Linked DNA regions of Callithrix jacchus. The main gene of each other region encodes a partner of the protein of the gene in region 2 in a complex. Links are inferred from orthologs where the notes say so. Each region holds a gene or a part of one and is shown on either strand. Other genes may lie near its edges. The genes, in order: P2RY2, GNAO1 and ADRA2A.

Region 1 (3,842 bases), on a different chromosome or scaffold from region 2:
CTTTTGTGCCACACACATACTCTCCCATGCAGGATCTTACTTGTTCTGGCCTTTTTTAAGAGCCTGGCAGGGCAGGAACTGGTCATCCAACAAGCCGGGAGCAGAGCTGGGACGAGATCAATTGCAGGTCCTCAAATTCCCCAGTAGGAGCATCTGAAGGCTCAGGGAAAAGTGTTTGGCCAAGGGGCAAGGGCTCAATTAGAGTTTAAACAACCCCTGGGACGGTTCTAGTGTCAACATCACACACACCCTGACCTCCTGTCCTTGACATTTCTTTATCCATTCTCCATCCTGCAGCCAGAGAGCTCTTTCTGAAATGCTGCTCTGACCATGAATCTCCTCTGCTCATAAATTTCCATGGCTCCCTATTGCCTTCAGGATGAAATCTAGGTCTTTAGCCTGGGCACTCTGGGTCCTATAGTGTCTCAGATCACACTGTTCTGGCAACCTGTGCCACCCAGTAGCAGGTAACCAGATTCTGGTTTGCCCTTTTTTGTAGTGACATGGAGCTCCTCTGCAGCCAAGCCTTTACTGGAGAAGCTGGGGTTAGAAACCTGCTGTTCTCTCAGTTCAGCTCAGCCCTGTGCAGAGTGCTGGCAACACAGAAATGAGTCAGACCCAGTTTCTGCCCTCCAGGAGCCCCTAGACCTGCAAAGAAGAAAGGAGGAGGCAGACATAGAGCATGACAGTCCAGGTGGGACGAGGGCTGTCAGCACCAGGACTCTAGGGGCCTAGAAGAGGCTCCTACACAGCTGGGGGGGGATCAAGGAAGGCTTGCCAGAGGAGGGGACATCTGAGCTGGGTCCCAAGTCTGGGTAGTTCTCCAGTTGAGGAAGGAGTAGGAGGGCTTATCAGGCAGGGAGTATAGAATATGCAGTAGGCCAGGGGCAAGAAATGAGAGACTACAGGCAGCTGCTGCAAGGTGAAGACTCAGGCGGGAGAGGTGGCTGGAAAGATCGGCAGGCCCCAGTTATCAGAGGCCTTAAGTCCCAGGCTACAGGCTTCAGGCTTGGTCCTGTGGAAGTCTTGTGCCCTAGGGAGGGACAGAGTTGGGATTCTGGTTTTGGGAGGCTCCCTCCAGGGACTAGCTTCCCATCCCCAAGCTGTGAGCCTGCCCAGGGGGAACAGTGGTGCTGAGCAAGACAAACTCTGCTCCTAAACAGCCCTCAAATTCCATATCATTAGTCCCTTCTTACAGAGGAGGACACTGAGGTTCAGAGAAAGGACGCGTTGTCCAGGCCACAGAGTGGCCAAGACAGGATTGGAACATAGATCTCTAAGTCTCCAGAGCTCTCCTGTGGACCTGTCTGCTCAGAGAATCTTCTTCCTCCCACTTCACCCCACAGGTAATAAACTTGCCTGGGGCTCCACCCAGATCCTCAAAAGCTCATCATTATTTCAGCTTAGATCCAAAACAAACCAGGTAGATCAGGCTGTGGTCCCAGGAATCTGGAGAGGCCATGCCGAGAGGAACTGCACAGCGGACCCCACAGGTTCCGAGCAGGCAACGCGGGTTCCCAGCAGTCCCTGGCCCTTGGGCTGCGCTCCTGGAGGACCCCAAGAGGGCCACCGGCAGCCCTTGGGTTGGGAGGTGGGGCATCGCCTTTCTCCTGACTGACCCTTCCTACCGCACCATTTGCCAGATTAAAAGTCCCGGGACAGAAGCTTAACTGTCCTTCCTCGCCACTCCCTCCTCCCCTGCCCACTCCCTGCAACTGCCCCTCAACCTTACCATGGCAGGCGGCCACCCAGAGTGACCCTGGGGGCAGGACAGGGGCAGGGGCAGTGGGTCTCCAGGGGTTCGTGTCTCTGGGCACCGCCCACCACCCCACGCCACGGGGGCGCTCACATCTGAGCACACACAGACAAGTTCCGCAGGCTAGACCAGTCGCCCCCAGTGGCTCACACACCCGCTAACACGCAGACTTCCCCAATACGCGGACGCGCACATTCTCCTCACTACCGGGCGCCGGTCCACACTCATCGAGACCGACGCTCCCGTGGAGACAAAGTTCAACTACCGACCCACAGGCGCGCTCAAGCCGTCCAGTTATGCGCTGCACTCCGGCTCGCAACGGTGGCCGGGGCGACAGCGGCTCCACAGGGCTCTCCTCTGCCCCGCGCCCAGTCGGCACCTGCCCCAGTCTGGCCCGCCGCGTCCAGGGGCCTCTCCCGCCGACCTCTCCCTGCCCCCTGTTCCCTCCAGGCGCCCCACCTCTCCTCACTGAGCTGCGCCCCTCCGCCCGGGGTGCCGTCGCCGCCGCTCCCAGGTGCCAGTGCCAGCGTCCAGCCGCCGCAGCCGCAGAGACCCACGTGCCTGGGAGCCCCGCTGCCTCCTCCCGGCCCAGTTCCCCAGCCGAGCCAGGCAGGGGGCGGGGCGGACTCTTGACCGACCCTGGCACCGCCCCCAACCCGCCTGGGTAGACACCTCGCCACTCGCTCGGGGACGCCACCCAGCGACACGGCCGCGGGGTCAGCGCGTCTGTACCGGTGCTGCACCGCGAGGGGCGGGCGGCGACCGTCCCACTGCCCGGCCAGAAGGAGGCCTCCTGGCTCCCTCACGCCAGAAGGGAGCGGGTAAGGAGGGGTTTTCAGAGACGCCAAAGTTTTGCCATGTCCGCTATGCGCTTGCGTGGCCCACTGCGGGACCTTTGCTCCCAGCCGCCGCGCCACCCGACCCCTGTCGCGCCCCTGCCCCAGCCCGGCTGTCCAGGAAGGGACCTGCTCTGAGAGATCTGCTCCGAACCCCAGGCTAAGGACACACCTCCCTTGCTTGAAAGTGGAGACAGGTGGTGCCTCTCCCCACTACCCTGGGAAGGAAAGCAGGGCACTCAGGATCTCGCCTCCCGTGCTCCCTGCTTTCCCTTAATCTTACCAGCAGCTCCCTGAACTCCCAACTCTCTTTGGCCCCTCATCTTGAGCTGCTTTAACTCTCTTCTCCGCCCTCAACCCTACTCTGATGTCTGACCATTTCCCCATGTCTGACCATTTCCGATACTGTGAGCTCCCGAGGGCAGCGACCAGGTCTGCCTTCTTCCTGCTGTTGACTCAGGTCCTGGGAGGTGCTCAATCCTTGAAGTTGTGGATGGATGAATGAATGAGGGCCCCCCTCTATCATTTCTGGTCTAGGAATCAGGAGTGTAGGTTCCTGCCCAGCTTCAGCTTTGACTCTGGGAGACCTTGACCCAGTTCCAGTCCCTCTCAGGGTCTCCTTTCCTGTGAAATGGAATCAATCATTAGCGTTGCTGGACAAGTGCAGAGGAGGCCTCTTCCTGTAGCCAAGGAGCTTGCCCAGGGCCCTGGGGCCTTGGGCCCTTTTGGGCTCCACATCAGCTGACTGGGCCTGGCTGCCAGTCCAGGAGGGGTCCAGGAAGGGTGCTGGCTGCAGCCCAGCCAGGAGCAGGAGCAGAGTGGACACACAGCCTAGTGTGGCTGAGCCGCCTCTGCAGTCCTGCTGGGACCTTTGCTTGGGACACACAAAGGCCCCTTGTCCAGCCTCCTCTGCCTATTGTCTAAGCTGCACCGCACAGCTTCCAGGGACCTAAGTATCCTCATAGCCCAAGTTACAGGGCCTAGGTCTTCAGGTTCCAGTGTGGGGAAGCTCCTTTAGGCACTGGAACTCCAGCCAACTCCCTGTTTCTCTTCTTCCTTCCAAAACTTCAAACCTTATACTGTCACTGCCATTTAGCCCTGGAGAAACCAGTTTCTTTGACATCAAGATGAGGACCCAGGCTCTACCTAAGCCTTCAGCAGGCAAACCTGGCTGGTGGCCTGCCCAGGGCTCTGCCCCTCCTGTGGCCCAACTCCCTTACTTTACAACTGAGGAAACTGCATCCCTGAGA
Region 2 (3,842 bases):
TTGCACAAGCTCCAAAGAAACCCCAAGCTAAATTACCCTTGGTTCAGAAGGGTGCGGCCAGCCGAAGGGGCCTCTTCGAAGAAAGCCCTAGGGAGCTCTCGAACAAAAATAAGAACATGTCAAGCCGATGGGGAAACTGTCTCCGAGTCGCTACTCCCTACCATCATGGCGCCGCCTAGAACCCGCTTGTCATGCCTGTTACACATGCAAGATTTTTTGCATCTTGGTTCTGAAACCGCAAGCATGCTTCGTCTCCCACTCCCAGCTTCCCACGAAAGGGGTTTTTATTTTCCATTGTTTCCCTACGCGATGCAATTACTTCGGCTACTCTGTCAAGTTGAAAAATAATCATTTTTGTTTACTGTACGGCAACCCCTAATTAGGAGCTGTGTGTGCACGAAGGTGTCACAGCAAAGCGACATGGAATTTTCGCTAAACGGTCTTAACGAACTCCTCCGTCCTGAACTGACAGGCCAACGGAAGCAGGAGGCCCCGAGGGCGCACACCTCTTTGCGGCCAGCCACCCCCTCCCCAAGCAAAGCTGCCTGTGGGCTCACCAGGAACTGCCGGGTGAATAGGGCAAGAAGCGAGCCTGCGAGTGGGAAGGAGGGGCGAGGCTCCTTATTGAGAAAGTGTGGAAGGGAAGGAATATCCCATTTTGTTTTAATTTTCAACCATCACTCAAATCCACCCCCAGTTAATTAGGAGGGGAAACTGATAGCTAAGGCAGAAGGGGGCGGCGGAAAGTGGGGCCTGAAATCCGCATTGTGAGTAGATTGCATGGAACATGGCCTATGCAGAGTGTAAATAAATACACTGATAAAGGCCACGGAGCGAAGGAAAACTGCGGGTATCAGGAGAGCAATGCTGGGAGGGTGGGGGAGGAGAGGAGCTGGGGGCAGCAAGGGGCGGACATTCAGCCTCACAGGCAGCTTCCCTCCCCCTTCCACCTCTACCTTGGATAAAACTGTGCCAGTCACTACCGCTTGGAAACCCACTCCTTCCCCTAGCACACGACCCCTCCCCTAATCCCCTCTTTTTTGGGGGGGGGCGAGGAGACGTAGAAAACACAGCCTCCAATTCAGCACCAAACGCATGAACAGCAGACACCTGATCCTCCACCCCAGTCTAGGGCTGGGTCCCCTCCATGTTAGCCAAGTTCAAAATCACTGCCCCAGGAGAAGAGCAGGGGGAAGCGGGATTACGGACCTTCGGGGATAGGGAGGTATGGAGGGAAGAGGAGAGAGAAATAGAGACAGAATGAAACAGAGACACAGAAATGGAGGCAGTGAGACACAAAATATTCCACAAGCAAGAGTAATGATCATATTCATGCCAATAGTGTGATGTTCTGATCAATATGGCGGACGCTGTCATTCATACAACTACAGGCGCTCCCCTTCCCCCTCCCAAAAAACACCCACCCGGTAGTTGGGGTGGAGGACCAAGAACCAACGTAGGGAGTGGGGGAGGGGAGTCAAATATAGGGGTGTGTGTGTGTGTGTGCGTGTGTGTGCACGAATTAAAAAACAGGCCTGGAGAGCAATGTGGAGTAAGCAAGGTAATAAAAACGATTTTAAAAATTATTCTTAATAAAAGTACAAATCCCAGTGCCACAGGGACTTACTTCATCTGCTTCACAATGGTGCTTTTTCCTGATTCTCCAGCCCCTGTTGGGACACAGACAGTGGGGAAAAACTGGTGAGTGTCAGCTTAAAGGAACGGGGGGGGGGGGGCTAAGGCATGCGAGGGGGTGGGCGATCCTGGGCACATGGTGGTGCCAACTTAGGGACCAGGTCTACCGGCTGCGGGTGGGGTGGAGGAGCTGGCGGCAGGGGTGCGGAGTGGCCGGGGTCGGGGGATGGGGGTGGTAGCGGCGGTTCTTACCCAGTAGGAGTAATTTCACATCTTTGGCGGCGCTGATGCCATCCTCTTTGAGGTTTTTCTCAATCGCCTTGCTCCGCTCGAGGGCGGCTCTCTCCTCTGCGCTCAGAGTACATCCCATGGTGGCCCCTTCCCTGCCACAGCCCGCACAACTCCGCTGGCACGGCTCCCCGGCTCGGCGCGCCCCCCACCCCCCCAGAGAGCAGAGCCTGGGCTCAAGGGGGGAAAATCACGATATCCTCTCCTGGGCTGGAAACAAAAATGTCGCGTAACCAGAACCCCCCAAAAAGACAGCCGCTAACAAGATTCCAGTAGCGGAGACTCGCGGCAGCTGGTGGGGATCTGGGGGTGTCGAGTCGAGGATGGCCGGAGTCAGGGGCTCCGGAGCCGAGGGAGGAGGCGCCCGCGGGCCGAGGAGGCGCGGGCTGCAGGCACTGAGGCTTGTGCACGACCCAAAATAAATAAAATAATAGTCGAGGCTGGAGCCGCAGCCGGAGCCGACGGAGGGTGGGGTGGGGGGCAGGGTGGGTCCTGCTGCCGCGGCTGCTGGAGGAGGAGGCGGTGGCGGCGGCGGAGGAGGAGGTGGCGGAGGCGGCGGCGGCGGCGCGGGATGTGGAGGGAGTGAGTTAGGGGGTGCTGCTAGTGCATGTGCATCGCCGCTCTTCAGCCGTCGGTGCGTCCGCGGCGCCTTCGCCGACCCCCGCGCGCTGGGCAGGGCTGGGCAGGGGGCCGGACCGGGGGGCAGGTCTCTAGCGGGAGGCGGCGTTGCGGTCTCCCAGAGCTCTCATCGCTCGGTGAGCCTACCGGAGAGAGGGAGAGCGCCAGGGAGCCGCGGCCAGCCGGGTGCTCGAGGGAGAGGGAGAGAGAGAGAGAGGCAGGGAGGGAGGGGAAAAAAAAAAAAATGGTAGAGCGAAGGAGCGCGCCCGCGCCAGGGCCCGGGTTGGGGGAGGAGGCGAGCGCAGAGCGCGAGTGAGCCAGCGACTCTGCGCACCCGGCTCCGCGGGCCGCCGGCTGACGTCAGCAGGGCCGCGCGCCGAGCCCCCGGGACTGGGAGAACGCGGGGCGGGGGAGGCGCGCGCCGGGGGTCCGCGTCAGCCGGCGGAGGCGCGCACGCGCGTTCGCGGAGCATCCTCCCCCCTCCCCCAAGCGCCCTCCGGGCCCGCGGCTCCCCGGGGGTGGGCGCGTGCGAGGCTGGCGGGGGCGGGGCGTGGGGCCGGGCGCGCGCCGGGGCGCCCTACCCCGCCCCTGCCCCCGCCCCACGCGGCGGCGGCGCGGACCTCCTTGTCAATGGGAGTGCTGGGCCGGGCAGGCAGCGCGGCAGTCAGGTGGGCCCCCCAGCTCGCGGCCAGCGCGGCCTCTGTCCCTCTCCCGCAGGCTCTCCATCTTGTCTCCCGCAGCCCGCCTTCTCCGTGGCTCTCCAGCTGCTGGGGCCGCAGAGCCGAGGTCAGGTTACCTCAGGAGACGCGATGTGGTAGTGGGTTGCAATAAAACCTCGCGCACCAGAATTCGCCTCTGGGGCGTGAGGACAGATTCGGACTTTTCGAGTCCTTAGTCCACATTTATAGAGCACCTACTATGTGAGAGCCAAGGCTGTAAGGAGAGGAATGCAGCGGGCCGAGAAAAGCCTGGGCCTGTTCTCCGGGAGCCGCTGCCTCCAGGGCCGTCGGCGACCCTGCTCGGAGATCCCAGCCGCCGCTCTCCGTGCAAGAGGGGTGCCCACCCTCGGAGGCGTGAGGGCCCGGAGCGGAGGGACAGGGCTTCAAGCGACCGGGAGCTTGCAGCAAACCCCTGATCCCTGAGCAGTTTTATTTAAAAAGCTTTTGCAGATGTTGGACGGTTTAGTCTGGTGGAGGCCTCTTTGCACTGAATTCTTCTGTTTTCCCCCTTCCAAACACACAAAATGAATTTTGAATAGATTCTGGATGAGAGATTTTCTTCCTTTTTTCATCTTCTGAAAC
Region 3 (3,842 bases), on a different chromosome or scaffold from region 2:
CTTCTTGAAGGCGCGGCGGAAGTCGTGGTTGAAGATGGTGTAGATAACCGGGTTCAGCGAGCTGTTGCAGTAGCCGAACCAGAAGAAGAACTTGAAGAGCGTGCGCGGCACTGAGCACCCGACGGCCGTGAGCGTGTAGGTGAAGAAGAAGGGGAACCAGCACACCACGAACACGCCGATGACCACCGCCAGCACGAACGTGAAGCGCTTCTCGCGGTTCTGACGCCCGCGCCAGCGCGACGCCTTAGCAGCCCCGGCGCGCTCCTCCCCCGGCCCCGCCGCCGGCATCCCGAGCCCCGTGGCCCCTGGCCCGCGCCGCGGCAGGCTGTCCCCCGGCTTCACCTGGCTTGCCCGGGCCTTGCCCTTGGCCCGGGGGCCGCGCTCATGTCTGCGGGGCCCTGGGGGCCGCTCGGCGTGGTCCGACGACGAGCTCTCCTCCAGGTCCAGGGCGTCGGCGTCGCGCGGCCCGGCCGGCGCTGGCTCACCCGGGGCGCCGTTGAGCTGGGTGGGCAGCGGCTCGGCCTCAGCGCCCGCCAGGCCCGCGCCGCGCTCAGGGCCCAGGCCGTTGGGCCTGCTCTCGGCGCCCCCCGGCGGCGCGGCGGTGGCGGCGTCTGGACCCCGGCGGCTGGGCGGCACGCGGGTACGACGCTTGGCGATCTGGTAGATGCGCACGTAGACCAGGATCATGATGAGGCAGGGCGCGAAGAAGGAGCCGATGCACGACGAGATGACGTACCACTTCTGGTCGTTGATCACGCAGCGCGGCTCGGCCGGCTGCTGGCCGTCGCCGCCGCCCTTCTTCTCGATGGAGATGAGCGGCGGGAAGGAGATGACGGCCGAGATGACCCACACGGTGACGATGATGGCCTTGATGCGGCGCGGCGTGCGCTTCAGGTTGTACTCGATGGCCTGCGTGATGGACCAGTAGCGGTCCAGGCTGATGGCGCACAGGTGCACGATGGACGACGTGCAGAAGAGCACGTCGAGCGCCAGGTAGATCTCGCACCACGCCTTGCCGAAGTACCAGTAGCCCATGACCTCGTTGGCCAGCGAGAACGGGATGACGAGCGTGGCCACCAGGATGTCGGCCGAGGCCAGAGACACCAGGAAGAGGTTTTGGGGCGCCTTGAGCGCGCGGCTCGTGAACACGGCGATGATGACGAGCACGTTGCCGAACACGGTGAGCAGCATGAGCAGGCCGGCCAGGCACACCAGCGTCAGCGTCACCTGCAGGGAGTAAGGGGTGGCCCGGGCGCCGCCCCCCGGCGCCTCGGTCCCGTTCCAGCTTGCGTTGCCGGCGTCCGGCTGCAAGGAGCCCATGGGCGCAAAGCTGCCCTCGGACAGCGGCTGCTCCTGGCGGAACATGAACGCGGGTGCCCGCTCGCCTGGGCCTGCTGCCAGCTGCCTTCCGGCCCGGCGCCCGTGGGTCCTCCTCTTCCTCCGGCGCCCCGCTCGCCTGGCCGCGGCTCACATAGGGAGGGGGCCGCAGGGAGGCCGGGCCCGATCTAGGGGACCGCTAGCGGCCCATGGCCCGGATCCCGCGAACTGCGCCTGGCCCGCGCTTCGGACGCTCTCGGTGGGCGCCTTCTCGCTCGGAGATCCTAACACAGCCAAGTTTTATTTCTAAGCGGCGGGAGAGAGTAGGGCGAGCCGATGGGTTAAGAGAGATTTATTCTTCAAGAAGAGAGAACAAAAATCATCGGTGGCCTGATAACTTGGAAGGATGACAGGAAATTAAATATACATATACATATCAATATCTATATTTTGACTCTTGAGCCTGAGCGAAAGCAAGAGGTCTTACCGTGTGCGGGGCCCGCCCCCACCCCGGAGGCAGCTGAGGGGTGCTGATGCGAGCTCAGGGTCCTATGTCTGTCTCCTTAAATCCCCGAAGCGATTACCGACTCTCTGGCTTCCCCCAGACGCTGCGGTGCTGGCCGGGCCCGGCCCGGGTCTGAGGCGCTGACTCTGCCGCCTCTCGGAGCGCCGCGAGACTTCCAAAGTTGTGCGCCCTGCTGCGGCTGGGGCGCACTGTGCTGAGCTCGGGGGCGGCGGCGGCGGCGGGGTGAAGAGTGTGGGGGCCGCATGAAGGCACCCCGGTCCTCAGGCGGGCTGGGGCAGGTGAACGATCAGCTCTTCAGGAGCCGCGACGGAAGCAGGGGATCTCCTGGGCGTCGGCTTGGTGGGAGCCGAGAGCGGCTGGATGAGCCGGGGACCGAGGACAGCGCGAGTTGGGGCAGGAGCGCAAGGCTGGGGAAGAAGGCGCTGGAGTGGCCGGGCGGCGGCGCGCCGACTGCTCGGCGTCTGCACGGAGACGGGGCCGCTGCTGCTCCGCTGCGCTCACGGTGGACACGTTTTATAGCCCCAGGATCAAGCCGGCGTTGCTGAGCAGCCGGCGTCAGCCCCCACGTGGGAAGCCGACCCTCCCCCGCCCCTCGCACCACCCCTCCGCCAGTCTAGCGCCCGCGCCCAACGTGGGACCCGGGGAGCGTCGCCCTCAGGCGAGATGAGCCCTTTGGAGAGGCGGGTACCTTGAACCAGAGGCTTAAAGGGGGTGGGGTCAGAGAGTGGGGAAGCGGCCCCTGCTGGGAGTTGGCGGTGCAGCTCCGGGCCGACGGAGCAGAATGCAACGGGCACCCGTGAGTGCCCTCTTGGAGGTGGATCTTGGAAGAAAGGGGAAGAAAGAGTGGAGGGGAATCCCGGCCCAAATCGAGGGAAGCAACCTCTGGTGTGAGTCACAGCTGGAGCCTCCTAGCCCCGAGCCAGAGCGGACCGGGCCCGCCGGTGCTCCTAGCGGCTGGGGACAGAGGGGTCCTGGCGAGGGAGGAAGGCGCGGGTTCGGATAGAACGCCTGGGGCGGAATGGACAGCACCCATTACGCCCGGAGGCCAGAGTTCAGAACTCCGCTTAGGGGAGAAGTGGCTACGTGTCCTCCCAGCCGCCCAGCTGTCTACGGGACACGCGCGACCTGGGGTCTGGACTGCGCCCCTTAGACGAGGTGGGGAGGGGGTCCTGGAGCCGAGCGCCAGGGCAGAGCGAGGACGCACTGACACCTGCTGGCCGCTCGTGGTCACGGCTGGAAGCGACCCGCTGACGCCGGGCGCTTTCTCCCTTCTCTTCGATCTTCTGCCTACAGAGCCTTCTCCTATCTCAGAACAAATTGTGTTCTAAGCTCAGAAAAGGAGAACCCAGATTTTGAATTGCACCCTGCCGTGTTGCAGAAATCTTCCTAAAGCAGCGCTAGTGTGTCTACTCCTGGCGGGAGTGAGGGTTTGTCTAATAAAGAAGTTACATCAGGAAGGGCTCCGCAGGCACCGCCGGCCAGAACCAGCATCCTACCCTGGACCTGCACACCCCACCCTTCCTGCAGATCCGAGAGAGGACGGGATCCTGCCTCCTGGGTTGCCCAGCTCTGACCTGCTGGGAACCATTATGTTTTTGTTAAGGCAAGAAAGCTAGACTCCACCCTCCCACCCCACCCCCATTCAGATGCACATACACAGCATCCTTCAGTAAGGGGAGGAGGGAGTGGCCAAGGAACATTTTCCATGTTCTCTCTGATGGAGGTGGGGGCAGCAGAGAAAGGCAAGTTTTTCCGTGCGTGCTAGTTGTCCTAGGATTGATTCAAACGGTCACTAGAGCACTAGCTTGCACTCTGCTAGCTGCACTTTTCAGATGAGCCGCAAGCAGTTTAAAGGTAAAGCCCAGGAGGGTAGGAAATTTCAGCAGGAGAGAGATTAGCCTTAAAGAAACGTTGTCTTATTTAAGGAACCACTAAACCAAAATGCCTTATGTAGTGTCACCTAAGCTGGAATTCCAAGGATGGAACAGACTGCCTCTCT

What was found.
Region 1: the proteins of GNAO1 (region 2) and P2RY2 are in contact, whole or in part, in a cryo-EM structure (PDB 9K20), measured with the Homo sapiens proteins. The link is inferred for Callithrix jacchus from reciprocal best matches to the Homo sapiens genes GNAO1 and P2RY2. Residues at the interface, in NP_066268.1 of Homo sapiens: Ala31, Lys32, Asp33, Val34, Leu195, Gln305, Glu309, Glu318, Ile319, Tyr320, Cys321, His322, Met323, Val334, Phe336, Thr340, Asp341, Ile343, Ile344, Asn347, Leu348, Gly350, Cys351, Gly352, Leu353, Tyr354; in NP_002555.4 of Homo sapiens: Asn66, Ser68, His130, Arg131, Gly134, Val135, Pro138, Leu139, Leu142, Arg143, Met221, Arg224, Leu225, Ala229, Tyr230, Gly231, Thr232, Ser233, Pro237, Ala239, Lys240, Lys242, Ser243, Arg245, Thr246, Leu308.
Region 3: the proteins of GNAO1 (region 2) and ADRA2A are in contact, whole or in part, in a cryo-EM structure (PDB 7W6P), measured with the Homo sapiens proteins. The link is inferred for Callithrix jacchus from reciprocal best matches to the Homo sapiens genes GNAO1 and ADRA2A. Residues at the interface, in NP_066268.1 of Homo sapiens: Ile28, Lys32, Lys193, Asn194, Leu195, Asp218, Phe336, Thr340, Asp341, Ile343, Ile344, Ala345, Asn347, Leu348, Gly350, Cys351, Gly352, Leu353, Tyr354; in NP_000672.3 of Homo sapiens: Arg77, Arg146, Ser149, Ile150, Ala153, Ile154, Asn157, Leu158, Arg160, Pro162, Ile234, Ala238, Arg241, Arg383, Arg386, Phe387, Val390, Leu391, Phe444, Asn445, His446.

The regions. Positions count from the first base shown.
Region 1 is NC_133511.1:67,737,703-67,741,544, forward strand, and holds the start of P2RY2 (P2Y purinoceptor 2), read right to left. Parts: upstream 2,359-3,842; 5' UTR 2,216-2,358; exon of another isoform or gene 41-2,215; intron 1-40. UniProt on the Homo sapiens protein: Receptor for ATP and UTP coupled to G-proteins that activate a phosphatidylinositol-calcium second messenger system. The affinity range is UTP = ATP > ATP-gamma-S >> 2-methylthio-ATP = ADP.
Region 2 is NC_133521.1:14,059,957-14,063,798, reverse strand, and holds the start of GNAO1 (guanine nucleotide-binding protein G(o) subunit alpha), read right to left. Parts: upstream 2,904-3,842; 5' UTR 2,006-2,903; coding exon 1,888-2,005; intron 1,702-1,887; exon of another isoform or gene 1,671-1,701; coding exon 1,628-1,670; exon of another isoform or gene 1,510-1,627; intron 178-1,509; exon of another isoform or gene 37-177; intron 1-36. UniProt on the Homo sapiens protein: Guanine nucleotide-binding proteins (G proteins) function as transducers downstream of G protein-coupled receptors (GPCRs) in numerous signaling cascades.
Region 3 is NC_133513.1:104,006,277-104,010,118, reverse strand, and holds the start of ADRA2A (alpha-2A adrenergic receptor), read right to left. Parts: upstream 2,334-3,842; 5' UTR 1,366-2,333; coding exon 1-1,365. UniProt on the Homo sapiens protein: Alpha-2 adrenergic receptors mediate the catecholamine-induced inhibition of adenylate cyclase through the action of G proteins.